2 linked regions of the Drosophila melanogaster genome follow. The gene in region 2 interacts genetically with the main gene of each other region. Each region holds a gene or a part of one and is shown on either strand. Other genes may lie near its edges.

The links.
Region 1: of Txl (region 2) and Ddc, changing one suppresses a phenotype caused by changing the other (phenotypic suppression), as found in Drosophila melanogaster (one study listed by BioGRID).

What each region holds. Positions count from the first base shown.
Region 1 is NT_033779.5:19,113,797-19,123,777, reverse strand, and holds Ddc (dopa decarboxylase), read left to right. Parts: upstream 1-3,471; 5' UTR 3,472-3,668; exon of another isoform or gene 3,669-4,303; 5' UTR 4,304-4,360; coding exon 4,361-4,459; exon of another isoform or gene 4,460-4,536; coding exon 4,537-4,622; intron 4,623-5,649; coding exon 5,650-6,997; 3' UTR 6,998-7,295; downstream 7,296-9,981. Other genes in the region: Phb1 (prohibitin 1), read left to right, coding at 226-657, 961-1,359; CG10561 (uncharacterized protein), read right to left, coding at 7,366-8,872, 8,935-8,942; amd (alpha methyl dopa-resistant), read right to left, coding at 9,767-9,981.
Region 2 is NT_037436.4:5,760,442-5,767,584, reverse strand, and holds Txl (Thioredoxin-like), read right to left. Parts: upstream 1,740-7,143; 5' UTR 1,576-1,739; coding exon 1,210-1,575; intron 1,153-1,209; coding exon 869-1,152; intron 810-868; coding exon 596-809; 3' UTR 501-595; downstream 1-500. Other genes in the region: Ppat-Dpck (bifunctional phosphopantetheine adenylyltransferase - Dephospho-CoA kinase), read left to right, coding at 1-449; CG10576 (uncharacterized protein), read left to right, coding at 2,157-2,244, 2,401-2,498, 2,790-2,926, 2,989-3,151, 3,809-4,030, 4,312-4,537, 4,870-4,997, 5,061-5,174; Usp47 (ubiquitin specific protease 47), read right to left, coding at 6,201-6,411, 6,467-6,600, 6,655-6,725, 6,784-6,910, 6,976-7,143.

The sequences.
Region 1 (9,981 bases), on a different chromosome or scaffold from region 2:
GCAACCAAAAACCTTTAACAAGTGAGTCTATGAGCGAGCCGAGCTAACTGCGTTTGAAGACCAGGAAGAACAGGGGATAAAAACACGCAAACAGCACATTGTCATTAAACCATGACGTTCTAACCTAAAAACTGATGAAATTTCCAAGTCCAGTCGGCTTTCATTTACATATATAGTTTATAGAACAGTAACTAAATACATTACGTTTGTTTTATTCAAAGGATAATGGCTGCTCAGTTCTTTAATCGCATTGGCCAAATGGGCCTCGGAGTGGCCGTTTTGGGTGGCGTTGTCAATTCGGCATTATATAATGTGGAAGGCGGCCACCGGGCGGTCATCTTCGATCGCTTCACCGGCATCAAGGAGAACGTGGTCGGCGAGGGTACCCACTTCTTCATCCCATGGGTGCAGCGGCCCATCATCTTCGACATCCGGTCCCAGCCCCGCAACGTTCCTGTGATAACGGGCAGCAAGGATCTGCAGAATGTCAACATCACGCTCCGAATCCTGTACCGCCCCATTCCAGACCAGCTGCCCAAGATCTACACCATTCTCGGCCAGGACTACGACGAGCGTGTCCTGCCCTCCATCGCGCCTGAGGTGCTGAAGGCTGTGGTCGCCCAGTTCGACGCCGGCGAGCTGATCACCCAGCGTGAGGTGAGTAAAAACATCAGGAGAGCCCTCAGTTTCTTTAGGATAAAGCTTTTTTGATGGGCCTTGTGTTTCACCAGAGGCGCTTATGTTTACTTAGTATCAGGTCATCAGATCTCATCGTATTTCACGCGTATTTTATTTTCGATTTAAATTTGATTGTGTAAGCAAGAACGCGATCTCGGCGCTTAAGTCTAGGCTTATTGCTCTTTTGAGAATTGAAGCTTAAGAATTGGATTATTATTCAACTTATGCAGTCGGAAATATAATACTTTCATGCCCGTACTTAACGTGATTACCTCTTTGCAGATGGTGTCGCAGCGCGTTTCCCAGGAACTGACTGTACGTGCCAAGCAGTTCGGCTTTATTCTGGATGACATCTCGCTCACGCACTTGACCTTCGGTCGGGAGTTCACGCTGGCCGTCGAGATGAAGCAGGTGGCCCAGCAGGAGGCGGAGAAGGCGCGTTTTGTCGTGGAGAAGGCCGAGCAACAGAAGCTGGCGTCCATCATTTCGGCGGAGGGTGATGCCGAAGCCGCTGGCCTGTTGGCCAAGTCATTCGGCGAGGCCGGAGACGGTCTGGTGGAGCTGCGACGTATTGAGGCCGCCGAGGATATCGCCTACCAGCTATCCCGGTCCCGTGGTGTCGCCTACTTGCCCAGCGGACAGAGCACGCTGCTCAATCTGCCATCGACCATCGCGCAGTAGCTGGGTGCATCTAGTTCCGTTAAGTTGTAACTACCTATAGCATTTACTAAGTACTTTTCGATTTTGTTTCTGCTGAAATATGCACTACTCTAAAGCGTTCGCGCCCGACTGACTGGAGAATACTAAGCGAAACAACCAAAATTTGTCTCATGTAATCGGTTTTTCCATTATCTTCCCGATCGGGTTCGAAATCCGGTCGCAGTGTGCGCTCCGAATGCGGCTCAACTTTTGTTGTTTCCGTTTGAGTCGTTCGTGTGCGCGTCCTGCTGAATTGGTCCTTAAGATCGGCACCGGGCTTAAAACAACTCCAGTAATTGAAAGAAACACAGACCGTAAGAAAATTTCATTATGTGAACAAACAATAAATGATAATCCCTACATGAGTGGGCTTTTAAATTGAGTGTGGTTATGGTTATGCAGGAAATGTTATTTAATTTATGAACTTTTACTTTCTTTTTACTTTACTTTTACTTTCCCAATTAATTACAGATCGATCCTAAAACGAATCTAATCACTTGCCCATATCATATAGATTTAGACAAAATACGTGACCTATTGAAGCTCAGCGATGTGATGTGTACACCAAACACCCGCTCGCTTATCTCGGCCCTTGTTTACCCCATATGATGCCTGTTTATGCAATCCCCCTCTCAAAGGCGCCATTCGACCCCTATAAGCGGAGAATACTTTCGCATTCATTCGCAACTCAAGATGGTCATAAATCAAATTGTAGTATTCTTCGCCTCAATCGACCCGAACTCCAGCCACCCGTAAAGCAGCATAATGTGGGTGGGTAGTTGGGCGACTGGTGGCTGGTGGCTGTTGGCTGGCGTGTGGGTGGAGCACCCAGCGCATTAAAATCGAAAGCAGAGCCGTTGGCATGGCGTATAAATCTGTTGATTCAGCCAAGTGATTTGCCAAAGTGGCTTCGTTGAAATGTCAGGCACACGCACTTTGCTCGCACTCAGCAACAGTTGGACCACCCGCAGGATTCTCAGCAGCCCTACACTGAAAGAAATTATTTTCTTTTGTCGTAGGCTAAAAGTGTTTACTTGATTCTTTTAAATAGTAATTAAAGGAAGATAATGATTTTCCTGTCGTATTCCAATATCATTAGCCGAGCCGATATACCCATGTTTGTCTGTCCGTATAAACTTCGAGATTTTGGGAACTTTAAAAAAAAAAAACGGTCACGAAAACAGTTTTGAAAAATATTTTGAATTTTTGTATTATATCTCTCGATATATTTGGCATAAACATTTAAGCCACATATTTATTGTTTCTTGCCAATTTCTATTGATATTTCAACTGAATTTTGAAATTCCGGCCAAGTAACTGGCATCCAAAAGTCGTTAGCTTTCTATAGTAATTTTGAATTTTTCTCAGTGTATGCGGAACTGCCCGCTCAAAAGGCTCAACCTAGCCCACTTCCCCTAGCACAATGCGAAAGTGAGTGAGAGCATTGGATTATTTGACGTCACAATTCCATGAGCGGTTCAAAAAGCACGTCATATGTGGTGCTCTAATAACCGGTTTCCAAGATGCGCGTAAAGCGTGCCATTCCACGGCTTAATCAATTTCTTGTCTTTCCTACGAATATAACTTTGTTTACATTTTTTTGCGTGATTTTTTCTTCGGGGAGTCCAAGAAAAACCCTGTTTCGAGTGACTCATAATTGGGGGATTCCTGACGAGATCGCTCTCTTTCCACAAATTCGAGTTGGGAAGCACGTGAGTAGAATTCAAAATGTTTTGCTTGCTGTTTTAAATATCACTAGGTTCTCAAACTAATTTCAAAAATAATCAAATTAAGTTCACAGAGCTGGCAAATAAAATGTAATAGCTTGCATGTATGTATATATATATATTTTTTTAAATTCTAAATAAATCCATGGAAAATAAAGCCTTTGATATCCAGTTACTGATTCAGCGCCCAATTAATGCATGTTCCAAAAAAGTGTCAAAAAACGTGCACAAATCAAACGAGAGCTGAATTTGTTTTTACGACAGCGGCTGCGATTCGAAGTTCAGCGGCTGCGGACTGCGATTGAACCGGTCCTGCGGAATTGGCAGCGCTGCTGGACGGGCTTTAAAAGCCATGGCCAAGAGCGGGCAGCGCTCAGTTAAGAGGAGAACGCCAAGCGCACAGCAATCAGCACCGAAATATCAGCATCGAAATATCAGCAAATAAATATTAGCTGTTCTAAACCAGGAGGGCAAACTGAACTTGGAGCAAAGATTTAGTTCGGAACGGAAGTAAAGCTCGGCAACAAGTGCAAACAATTAAAAGCAGTTAACTAAAGTGCAACGGTGAGAGACGAAAGTGTGGCTCCTCAACAGCCTCAGCTGCCTGAAGTGCTTGGCCAACATAATGAGTGCATGTGCATGCGAAAGATTCATTTCGGGGCTAACGCTGCGTATACGTAATGTGTATCTAAAACTGGGCATATACTATAGCCTTGCTTCGGTTCAATTTGATAGTTCGGGCCCCGAATTCTATAGTGCTTAAGCTTTTCTCGGCTTTCGGTATCTGCATGCTTTTGTGTATCTATTAAAATAAGATTTTAGCTGGCAACAAGTCGTCGTCTCAATGCCAACTTGTTTACGTTGTTAAAATTGGAATTTAGAAAAAAAAAAAAAATAAAGCAGTCTTGATTAATGCAAGAATGCATTAAACATTCTAATTACCATACTAATTCACAGCCTATACTTAAGCAGCGCACTCGATGGGAAAACGCTTTAAACTATTAATACCTTAATACCTTATTATTATAACTATTATCATCATCGTTTTGCCTATCAAGTAATTAGTATTCAATGTCGTTCATTTGTCGTGTTTGCAGCGATAGCATTTTTTGTTTGAGCTGCTGCACTGATTAGCACTATCTTCAAAAACGCACTTCTATTAATAACACTTTCAATAATCGCACATTCTTTCATATTAGCTCTAACCATTCGAGTTCATATCATTGCAAAAGTCAAACGAAAAGTAAATCTCTGAAATGAGCCACATACCCATTAGTAACACAATTCCAACAAAACAAACTGATGGTAATGGTAAAGCTAACATTTCGCCGGATAAGCTGGATCCCAAGGTTTCGGTATGTCTATTGGGTTTAGGTATAGAGCCAACAATTATGCACGTCTGATAACCAAATACTTTTGCATCCACATCAAGATCGACATGGAGGCGCCGGAGTTCAAGGATTTTGCCAAGACAATGGTCGACTTTATAGCCGAATATCTGGAGAATATACGCGAAAGGTGAGCCAGATTAAGACTCCCTACTCAATTAGCTTGAATTAAACTTAATTTAGCGTATGAATTTCATTTATATGGTATCAGAATCAGTCGCTTGACCTCAGCATTTTACGTTCGAATCGAAAGTTCGTTCTGCTCGATTCGAATCCCCGGGCAAGTGAATGACATTTCGCACACGTTTTGAGATTAGTCACGGGAAAGTCGCACCGATCGGACATTTCCATTGCTATATATATCTATATATATATATCATTTTGTTTAGGGGGTTGAGGCGACCTTCCCATTAGCTCGAGGGCCAAGTACTTTCGCTGCTCTTGGGCCGAAAACTAATTAATTAAATGGCTTTGTTGAGTTGGCGTGTCAAGGTCGTTTTTCATGTATACGAGTATAGATATAATTGCACTGCTAACGCCTTGGCCAAAAGCAATTCGGGTATTTCACTATTCTTGGGCAATTCTTCTAACGGCTTCGTTTCCATTACCTTGAAAATCAAAGTCAGCTAAGTAAACAATTTTCTTACTACAGCTGCTGAGTTTGTTTGCCCATCGACAGTCGCTGAAATTAATGGTTAATTGAAAATCAAGCTTAAGTAGAGCGTAATATAATAATTCATTTTGCTTTATTAAAGTTCCTTCGACATTGAAGTTTCAAAACTATTTTCTTAGTTAGATAACTTTTTAAACGAATCTTTGTTAATTGAAGATACATATATATAGAGAAATTATCTTTTTATTTTCTTTTTTCACCTCTTAGTAGTACTTCCTTTTAATTGAAAGGATAGAAAATCCCACCATCATTATCAGCATTGCCTCTCTATCTATATTCTGTTCCCATAGCAATTTGCTACATATTCGTATTGATTTTCATGGCAGTGGCAACAAGTTGGGGGTGGTTGGATGGGTGTCCTTCAACCCCAATGATTCCTGATGCCTTTGTTGGCTAACTGAGTTTCGCAGCCAATTAGCAAGGAGCTTTTACTGAATGGGCGCCAAAATGCAATCAGAAGCTAACGCAATTTTCGCAATTACAGGCGCGTTCTGCCGGAAGTGAAGCCTGGCTACCTGAAGCCATTGATTCCGGATGCTGCGCCCGAGAAGCCGGAGAAGTGGCAGGATGTGATGCAGGACATCGAGCGAGTCATCATGCCGGGCGTGACACACTGGCACAGTCCCAAGTTTCATGCCTACTTCCCCACGGCCAACTCGTATCCAGCGATCGTTGCGGACATGCTGAGTGGAGCGATTGCCTGCATCGGATTCACGTGGATCGCCAGTCCCGCGTGCACGGAACTCGAGGTGGTCATGATGGATTGGCTGGGCAAGATGCTGGAGCTGCCGGCAGAGTTCCTGGCCTGTTCGGGCGGCAAGGGTGGCGGTGTCATCCAGGGCACGGCCAGTGAGTCCACACTGGTGGCTCTGCTGGGAGCCAAGGCCAAGAAGTTGAAGGAGGTGAAGGAGCTCCATCCGGAGTGGGATGAGCACACCATCTTGGGCAAGTTGGTGGGCTACTGCTCGGACCAGGCTCACTCATCCGTGGAGCGGGCTGGTCTTCTGGGCGGAGTAAAGCTCCGTTCCGTGCAGTCCGAGAATCACAGAATGCGTGGTGCTGCCCTGGAAAAGGCCATCGAACAGGATGTGGCCGAGGGTTTGATTCCCTTCTACGCGGTGGTCACCCTGGGCACCACCAACTCCTGCGCCTTCGACTACTTGGATGAGTGTGGACCGGTGGGAAACAAGCACAATTTGTGGATCCATGTGGACGCTGCCTATGCCGGATCCGCTTTCATTTGCCCCGAGTATCGCCACCTGATGAAGGGCATCGAATCAGCAGACTCTTTCAATTTCAATCCACACAAATGGATGCTGGTGAACTTTGACTGCTCGGCCATGTGGCTGAAGGATCCCAGTTGGGTGGTCAACGCGTTCAATGTGGACCCTCTTTACCTGAAGCACGACATGCAGGGATCAGCTCCGGACTATCGTCACTGGCAAATCCCACTTGGACGGCGATTCAGGGCACTGAAGCTCTGGTTCGTCCTCCGGCTGTACGGTGTCGAGAATCTCCAGGCCCACATCCGCAGACACTGCAACTTTGCCAAGCAGTTCGGGGATCTCTGCGTGGCGGACTCCAGATTTGAACTGGCCGCCGAGATCAATATGGGATTGGTCTGCTTCCGGCTGAAGGGCAGCAACGAGCGGAACGAAGCTCTTCTCAAGCGAATCAATGGACGCGGCCACATCCACTTGGTTCCCGCCAAGATCAAGGATGTCTACTTCCTGCGCATGGCCATTTGCTCGCGATTCACCCAGTCCGAGGACATGGAGTACTCGTGGAAGGAGGTCAGCGCCGCTGCCGACGAGATGGAACAGGAGCAGTAAAGTGGTTGTGCAGGTCTGTTCCGTGTTTAGTATATAAATTAATATAGTAAACTTAAATTGGACCAGTATGATATATAATGCATTGTGACTTGGAACCCGGAACAGACCATACACTTTCCACTTGCGACATGTTTAGGGAATTTACATCGCAACAAAAGATGGTTCGTCCATCGCTACATTATATTTATAGTATCCTATCATTGTATCATTGATGTTGTTCATGATTTTTATTGTTAACGTTATGCGCCTAATTAAAACAAATGTATTCTGCTTAAAAATACAAACGAATTGTAACTATAAATTTTGACTAGTTTTCGTGTTGATATACACTGTACAATTTAGCAGCCCATTCGGATTTCCCATTGCACTTAACCGCAGTGCACGCTTTTCAGATAGTAGTCAATAATGCGTTGGGCTTCTCGGATGCCACTGGACCTGGCGGCATCAATGGTTCCAAAGCCTCTCAACGAGGTTGCATCCCCAGCAAAGAGCAGACCGGGCGACTTCTCGCCCAGCGGAGCGGCCAGTCGCTGGACATCCCGGGCACTGCTGTTGGTGGAGAAGTAAGGACGACCGCCGAGGTAGCAGGCCGACGTACTCCAGTTGGAACGCAGCAGTTCCTGTGGGTACGGCACCAGGTGACTGCTCACGCAGCGCCTTAGCAGACCAGTTATCTGCTCCAGCAGCTCCTCATCGGGCAGCTTCTCGATCTCCTCGTAGTATCCGCCACCCACATGCACCTCCAGCACATGCTGACTGCTGGGCACCTGGCTGATCTCCACGACCTGCTGCGTCCAGTTGCGTTCGGGTTGCTGCTCCACGGAAGGATTCAGAAGCGTTCCCAGTGGCCGCAGGCTTCCCTTTAGCCAACGCCCAATGGGCTTCTTGTAGGAGAGATATATCTTGAGGGGATTGCCAAAGCCGAGGTTGCGTATAGCCAGCATCTTGTCCAGCGGCAGCGTGGGTCGAAACAGAACGCCCGCAAAGCTTTTGAGCACGCCCAGCGGCAGGGTGCATATTATGTGATCGGCGTTGTAAAGACTGCCATCCAGGCAACCCACACTTTTCATCGGCGCTGGTGTCCACTGTATCTGGCCCACAGGCTTTCCGGTCTGCAGCTGCGCTTTGTCCATGTTCTGAATGAGATCGTCCACTACATTATCTAGACCAGTGGGCACATACAGCGGGCGCTGTTCCTGCTGCACTGGACACTTGGTTATGTGTTCGATGTTCACGTACTCCAGGCAGCATCCCAATATGCTGCCGAACTCCTTGAACAGCGATTGGAAGATCTCGCGTGCCGCCAGTTGATCCTTAGGATGCTGGAAGGAGACGCCAATGATGCGATCGCTTTCTGTTCTAAAGTAGTTCATGACATTGTCCAGCGAGTGCAGGTCACCACCCGTTTTAACTCGTTCGGAGACCTTGAAGCCTCGGCAAAGCTGCCGAAATAGCGTGTCGATAAGCTCGACCATGGCTGGATTGATGCGGCTTCCATCCTGAAGATAGGTGGCCCGATCCGGCTGCTTTATCTGCTTCCCCAAGCCTTCCGTGTTGCGTAGCAGTTCATACATCGAATCCTGCGATCCATCGATCTTTACCCACTTGGCGCCTAGTTCACAGTAGGTGTCACCAAAGCGCTGGGTGTTAATCCTGCCGCCATAACGATCTGTGGCCTCCAGGATCACAGTGCGCCGAAAGCCGTGCGACAAGAGGTGCTGGGCCGCCGAGAGACCGGCGAGTCCTGCGCCCACGACCACTATCTGGGTATTTTGGCGCGCCGCCTCCAGATCTGGACTGCGTTGCTTGTCGCCGATGTTATCCGCCTGTAGAACCCGTGCATTGTATAAGCTGCGCCTGCTGGCCAGTTTAAAACTGCGGGGAACAAGAGAAGGTTTAGTTTGCACATTCAAATCCGCTGGAGCTGTTCAACTTACCATTGCATGGCAAGCGGGCCTAGTTTCCTGGAGTTCCGAAAGTAAATCAAGTTATTTTTAGAATTTTGCCAGATTTTTTAATATTTGTTGACAGGCTGAGAGGCGTATAGGCCTTTAAAGTGCCACACGTCCAAGTTGTTTTTAAAAAGCAGAATCATAGTATCCACCACAATGGTCGCCGGTTATCCAATTGCAGTTTGGGTGTCTAATTCCAAACTTGGCTGAAAGGGTTATAGTAATTCTTATGTATTTGTATGTTACATATATGATTATTTACCTCACGGAAATCTGAGAATTCGTACAAAGGCGAGCCGCGGCTGCTTCTATTCTATATTTATGAGAAATGGCACTAAACGCTATTCAAAGCTAATCAAAATATTGAATTAAGGGAAACAGATATTTTTGTTTTGTTTATACTTTGTTATTTAACCGATATCAGGTGGTCCAATTGGGAGAAACAGCTGTTTGCCTGCGGATGCGACACTGACGATAGACCTTGGCGAACTTATCGAAGGGCGATGAAGAAGTGTATCGATTCATAACCAAATGCAGTCACACTAAGCCGCGAAAATTTTGGTTTTAAATTTTAAAATAAAGTCGACGATATTTGTAATGCTTAAAAAACTAAAGCCTCGGCAGAAAGTTTAACAGAGAATGTTGGGAACTTTTTCGACAAAAAAAAATGACAGGGAAAAACCACTCTACCTTTATAGAAAACGTGCCAAATGATCGTACATTTAATTTCACTTTATTTATAAACATGTGGAAAGTTAAAAACTACATCGCAAACTAACTAGGTTGTCCCTAAACATAAATAGTTTATCCGTTTTTCTCACTGAGATTTCTCGTGCGTTGCATTTTCGGTGCTCAGATGGATCTGGAAGTGCTGCGCAAGATCGCCGACGTTTCCCGATTTGCGGGCCACCAAGGATTGCTCCGCCTGCAGGTCCGTCAGTTGAGACTCGATCTCCTGCCAGGCGAAATCAATATCGGAGGCTTTGGTGTCCATGCCGCATACGACGAATCGCAGAAACTGACGACCCGCAT
Region 2 (7,143 bases):
ACGATGGTCGCATCGATCGGTCCAAGCTGGGACCCTTGGTGTTTGCCGATCCCAAGCAGTTGCAAGCACTCAACGGCATTGTCTGGCCGGAACTTATTGCGGAGGTTAACAGGCGGCTGGATGCACTGCGTTCCCAGGCGGACGTGCCGCGTGTGGTGGTCCTGGAGGCAGCGGTGCTGCTGCGAGCGGGCTGGGAGACCAATTGCCATGAGGTGTGGTCCATGATTGTGCCACCGGATGAGGCTGTGCGGCGGATTATTGAGCGCAACAAGTTGAGCGAAGTGGAGGCCCAAAAGCGACTGGCCAGTCAGGTGCCCAATTCTGAGATCGTGGCCAAGTCGCATGTGATATTCAGTTCGCAATGGGATCACGAATTCACCCAGAAACAGGCGGAGCGTGCGTGGAAAATGCTTACCAAGGAACTGGACTCTTACCAGAGCAGCCTTTAACCCGATGGATATTTAGATTATCTTGTTGATCCTTATTTTGTATGATTTTTTATGCATTTGTTGTATATTGTTTAGTTGTAAGTCCAAAGTTGAAAAGAAATGCTGGGACGTCATTGGGGAAAAACGCTGAAAATTTCAATGGAACCTTAGTGGCTCTCGCCCTTCTTGCCAGCCACTCGCTTGAAGTCGTTCATCTTGGTGGTCATGATGGGGGAACCGATGAAGCCGATATAATCAATCTGCGTCACATCGCCACCTGACTGATTGTTCTTCACGAAGATTTGGATGTTTTGCACATTCTGGAACTTGACGTAGCGCAGATTCACGGGCACTCCACTCTCCAGCTCCTTCTGAGCCAGGCTGCAAAATGGATTGAACAGTGAGAAGAGCTAAGCAGCCATAGAGAAGGCAATAGCTACCTTAGATCCTGCACACTGTTCATGGACTCGGCCATGTCAAAGTCAATCGTGCGGGGCTGGTTAATGAACAGCTTCACATCCTTGGGACCCAGGTGCGAAGGTGCCTTGAACTTCAAAGAGTGGATCTTCACAGCCTGATTAAAGGTGATGGACAGGATGAGCTGCTCATCGCAATCGGACTGCAGGTAGCCACCGGCGGAGGCCAGGGCGTGCTTTAAGTTGTGGTCATCAGCTTCGTTGAGGCACTCGCACTCCTGCTTCGAAATAAATGTATTCAGTTCCATCTGTAAGAAGGATTAGGGATTATTTTTGGAACATTTCCAAATACTGCACTATATTACCAATCCCTGCCCGTAATCCTCGCCCCCCTCCTCGCCACCGGATGTACCGATGTGCTCCTGGATCTTGGCCTCGAGCCCATTGACGTCCGCACCCTGGACGCGATCGATCTTGGTCCTGTTCCTGTAGAAGATGAATGTTGGCATGGCCGAAACGCCCTGTCCAGCAGCCGTGTCCTGGCACTTGTCCACATCCACTTTCAGGAAGATGGCCTTTGGGTACTTTGTTGGAAACGTCTCGAAGATGGGCGCAATCCGCTTGCAGGGACCACACCACGAAGCTGTGAAGTCCACCACAACCAATTGAATGCCCGCTTGGGCCAACTCCGCCTGGAAGTGGGACTCGTCGTTGATCACGCGCACGGACATGGTGATAGGATTAGGTTTCTATTAATTGAGCTTTTGTTTCGGCAGCCGAATTGGATTTAAGCAAGTAAATGTTATTATTAACGTTCAATGCAAATTTTTTTTGTTAAAGATGACTTGTAATATGCATTTAGTCCAAATTCGTGCTAAGAAAAATACCGAATGCGGTATTCCACAAGCGGTCACACTGTGATGGTATCGATATTTCGAGCTCTTTGACTTCCTATTTTTAGAGGGACCATTTATGTGTAATAGAAAAAAACCGAAACTTAATATTTAAACTTTTATTGAAATATTAGTGGATTACAATATGTAAAACTATGAAATATTCTCATTTGATATAGCTCAAAGTGTTATTTAAAATTCATTCAGTGTTTACGACTAGCAATCTACGCTTTCACGCTCATCTTAAGCTTACCGCCCATTTGCCAGGGTTGTCAAGGCGAATGAGCGGTCCCACCATACACGCCACTGGAACTTTCGATACCTGCGCTGCGCCTGGCCACACGTTCATTACCTCGTGGTGTTTCAGTCGGTCGCATTTTCATTAAGTCGCCATTTTAAAATTATTAGAGTCAAGTACAATGGCAGATGTGGAAAAGGAGCCCGAGAAGACCATCGCCGAGGATTTGGTGGTGACCAAGTATAAGTTGGCCGGCGAAATCGTCAACAGTGAGTATTCCTTGGCCGGAAACAGCGAACGCTGGCCGATTCCTGGAGTCGCTGCTACGTGGCGCTTACACAATGCACCGAATGCCGCTTTCCCTTGTGCGCCACGCGTTGGTTAATCTGCCTATTTCTGGACTCTGTCTGCTCGTTTAATTTTAGAAACCCTCAAGGCGGTAATTGGACTCTGCGTGGTTGATGCCTCCGTCCGGGAGATCTGCACCCAGGGCGACAATCAGCTCACCGAGGAGACCGGCAAAGTAAGTGGTGGCCACCTGGCGGTCATTCGCGCCAATTTCATGTCCAATGATTAAGACTTACACCTTTGAGGGTTTCCCGATGGCGAGCCATGTGCTGTGCGGGCTGGGGATCACCTCGTGGTCGCCAGGCGCACGCGGGGACTCCAATGCTCCACGTGCCCGGCTTGTGTGCTCTCCAAAAGGTCCCGAGGATTTACAGATTATGAGATCTGAGGACACACCGCGCACTATCATTGATATATAGTACAACGAACAAGCAATCTAATGCTTTTATCGATCTTTCACAAACAGGTATACAAAAAGGAGAAAGACCTGAAGAAGGGCATTGCCTTTCCCACCTGTCTGTCCGTCAACAACTGTGTCTGCCACTTCTCGCCAGCCAAAAACGATGCTGACTACACGTTAAAGGCCGGTGATGTGGTCAAAATGTAAGTTGAACCTCCTATTCCACATATACCGCCACTAAATACGTAACATTTCTTTTCTACAGCGATCTGGGTGCCCACATTGATGGTTTCATTGCCGTGGCCGCTCACACAATTGTGGTAGGCGCTGCTGCGGATCAGAAGATCAGTGGTCGCCAGGCCGATGTCATCCTCGCCGCCTACTGGGCTGTCCAGGCTGCCTTACGTCTGCTCAAGTCCGGCGCCAATGTGAGTCCTCCCTTACTTCTAGGTAATCCTCCGTTAATCCCTGCAAGAAACGGATTGTCTGCCGCGATTCTCCAGCGACTGAACATCTCAACACTTGCAAAGATCAGCTGTGGCAGCTGGTAATTGCCCTGGCCTATTATTCAGGACTGGAGGCTTCTTGTCAGTTGTCCACAAGGTTATTTCTTCTGCAGGCAACGGATTGACTGCGCTCAAACTCTGACACAGATCAGCTCAACACCTGCGGATAGAAACTGTGTCAATTTCGTGAACTGAACAAGTTCATTCCATAGAAGTGTTCGGTCTTTAAATTTGTCCACATCTCCAGTTTATAGATATGTCGGAATTGTAATCTGCAGGCAACGGATTGTCTGCTGCCTTAACTCGTGGCTCAGCACAGCTCAACGTCTGCAGAGATCAACAGTGTCGATTTCGTGAACTGAACAAGTTTAGATACTTGAAATGTTCGGTCTTTAAAGTTGTCCACAATCGCAATGATAATGCCGATCAGTTATTGTTATTTTGCGTTATCTATAGTATACTATGATATTTGATTAAGATTAGTCAAAGGGAATTGGAATGTTTTCTTTATCTCTGCTTTGAACTATTTCCATTTTATTTCATACTTAATATTTATGTTTCAATTCTGTATCCTTACAGAACTACTCCCTCACCGATGCAGTGCAACAAATCAGCGAGTCGTATAAGTGCAAGCCCATTGAGGGCATGCTCAGTCACGAGCTGAAGCAGTTCAAAATTGACGGCGAGAAGACGATCATACAGAACCCCAGCGAGGCGCAGCGCAAGGAGCATGAGAAGTGCACCTTCGAAACGTACGAGGTGTATGCCATCGATGTTATCGTCAGTACCGGCGAAGGAGTGGTTAGTAATCCATCAATAGACACTACATCTCCACTAATTTGTTCGATGATTAAAAACACGCGCTTGAGGCTGACTTTGCTGGAATGCGGTGTTTGTTGCGAGAGTGACTTGTTTGCTCGGCGTTTTTTTATACTAAAATGCGGCACGTGCAGACACCAAGTTCCGGCTGGCTGTTGTCCGAAGATTGCAAGATTATGAGATCTGAGAACGCCAAATTTAAGCTGGATCCTGGATCATCGCAGCCAGAGCATTATTGCTAACATTATTCGTATTCGTTGCAGGGACGCGAAAAGGACACCAAGGTCTCAATTTACAAGAAGTCTGAGGAGAACTACATGCTCAAGATGAAGGCGTCCCGTGCTCTGCTGGCAGAGGTGAAAACCAAGTACGGAAACATGCCATTCAACATCCGCAGCTTCGAGGAGGAGACCAAGGCCCGCATGGGAGTTGTTGAGTGCGTCGGCCACAAGATGATTGAGCCCTTCCAAGTGCTGTACGAGAAGCCATGTAAGTGTGATGCATATTATTATTAATCCTATTCCCTATTATGCGAGTTGGCAGAACTTAATTCCGGACCTGGTACACCTTCGGGTGCTAAGTGCGGCCAGACATTTTGCCAGAACAAATTCCAGGCATTGTCGTCTTCAGCAGTTGCCTCAGTGTGGCCTCTGTCTGAACATGGCACTGTCACAATCGTATCCAATCTATTAACCTGTTTTCTTATACTTATTAAAGTTAATTTAGAGACTAAACTAGTTTGAGCAACCTTTATAAAGTTCGAATTTTAGCCGGAAGTAATAGCAAAGTTAAACAATCCTTTTCCTTATCTTGCATTACAGCCGAGATTGTGGCGCAGTTTAAGCACACGGTTCTGCTCATGCCTAACGGCGTCAACTTGGTCACCGGCATCCCATTCGAGGCGGAGAACTATGTGAGCGAGTACAGTGTTGCGCAGGAGGAGCTCAAGGTAAGCTGCAACAATTTCCTTGTATTCACGATGCGTACTCAATGAAATCTCAACTTTTTGCAGACTCTGCTCGCGCAGCCTTTGGGTCCTGTGAAGGGCAAGGGTAAGGGCAAGAAGGCAACAGCTGGGGCGGCGACAAAGGTGGAAACGGCGCCGGCCGTGGAGACCAAGGCATAGACCAGCCCGCTGATGATGATCCGCACCGCCAAGCCATCAACGGAAACACAATGTGAACAATTGCGCTGCCCAACGCTGCGCTCCACAGATTTTTACTATCGAATTCGTTGCGTATTAGAGGACCCTTTTGACAACAGAACAGGACAGAAGAGAAGACGGCAACAATTTGAGGATACATTTCCCCAGAAATCCTCCATCCATCAACAAGGCGGGCGGTCGGTCGGTCCCGCGCCAACTTTACCTCTTTATTTCCTTTACTATAAGCTGCCTTCGTTTATCGGTCTGTTCAACATCATCGCAACGAAAAAGCAAAGCAAGAACTGTCATCAAATTGTAACAATTTTAACGCTAAATGATCTTAAAATATAATTCAAGTGAAACGTTATTAACGCTGCGTAGTAGGTATTAAATAAAATTAACATTTTCTATAAAACAGCCGATAAATGCCAAACGATTTTTCATTTATTTACTTTCCGCTGGCGCCCAATTTTAATTCGATTTCGATACGCTTCTCATTCTAATAAATGCACTTGCGAGTTGTGTTTATTTTATACGTTTAATTTAGTTTTGATGTTCACATTCACATTATACAATTTGTAATTTAGATTTCTTGCCTTTTGTTATTTTAAATTTTACAGTCTCATCTTTGAACTCTTGTATTACGAAAGTTGCAAGAATAACTTCGTTATGTTAAACGTCACTTAGTGCTGTGCTCACTTGGCCACCCCAGTTGTCCATCCCAGATCCAATCCCAACAAGACCAGACCAATTCGATGCCGTATACGGCGACTTTGCCCAACTCGCTGACCTCTTCCCTTGCGTCAAACAAAATAAAGAACAACAAAAAACGCAATTGCTGCGGATGAAGTATAGAAAACACGAGCAGCACTTGCAGACGACAAAGATATGTGGCCGGTGATCAAAAGAGGATCTGGGATTTAATGGTCTGCCGTCGCTTACATACATGGTTTGGTGTACTTTTTTTTTTTTTGTTATGATCGCCGCGACTGTTTTCTACTCGCCAGACTAATTATTGACATGCACGTCCATCGGTGCGGAGGCGGTCACGTTGCTCGACTTCTCCGGAGAGTCCAGGTAAATCTTCAAGGCACGTTCCCGGCGCTGCGCATACCGCGTGGTGGACACGCAGCCCACCCGATCCAGTCGTGCCTTCTCCCTGGCGTTCATCAGGCGTCGCTCCTCCAGCGTCAGCTCTCGCGCAGGTACCGTCCTATCTCTGTTGAATTCATTGGTTAGTCTAGGAACTGAACTGCCACTTGCTCCACGCTTACTTGTACAGGTAGATGTTTCCTGTCTGTGTGCTATTAAGCGGATATTTGTCCAGGGTGGTGGGCACGGAGTACCAACTGCTGGACTCGTTAACACTTAACGCTGATATGCTTGTGCAGGGGAAGTTGCTGTTCAACTGCAGAGAAGACCAATTAGATCAATATACACAGTAGAACGCAATTTTACGAACCTTCATATAGCTCAGTTTGTCTATTGGGATGTCGCTGATCTGTGATAATGAAAGTCTGATTTCGCTGTCCTCTGCAGAAGATACGAGTTCGATTTACTGCTTACAGGGCAATATACAGATTTAACTTACGGTCCAAAGTGATTTCTTGGAACTTTCCAAACTCCAGTTTAGCCGGACACCACCGTCTTACAAATAAAGTCAGAGAATCGTCCTTGGGCTGCGGGTCCACTTCCTCCTCGCACTCTTGCACAATGAACTGAAATGGTGTGATATAAAATCCAAGTTAAGTTTTTTTCTCATCACAGAGACAGGGGAACCCACCTCCGCTGCGATGCTGGAGCGCATGTCGCAGTAGAGCGTTTCATCGTCGGACAGAATTTTGATGGGAATACGTCCGCCCTTCAGCCAGATGCGACAGTTTTGCACAGACAGTGTGGCGTACTTGGCGTCTATGCGATGCAGCTTGGCCACCAGTTCCTTCTTGGCCTG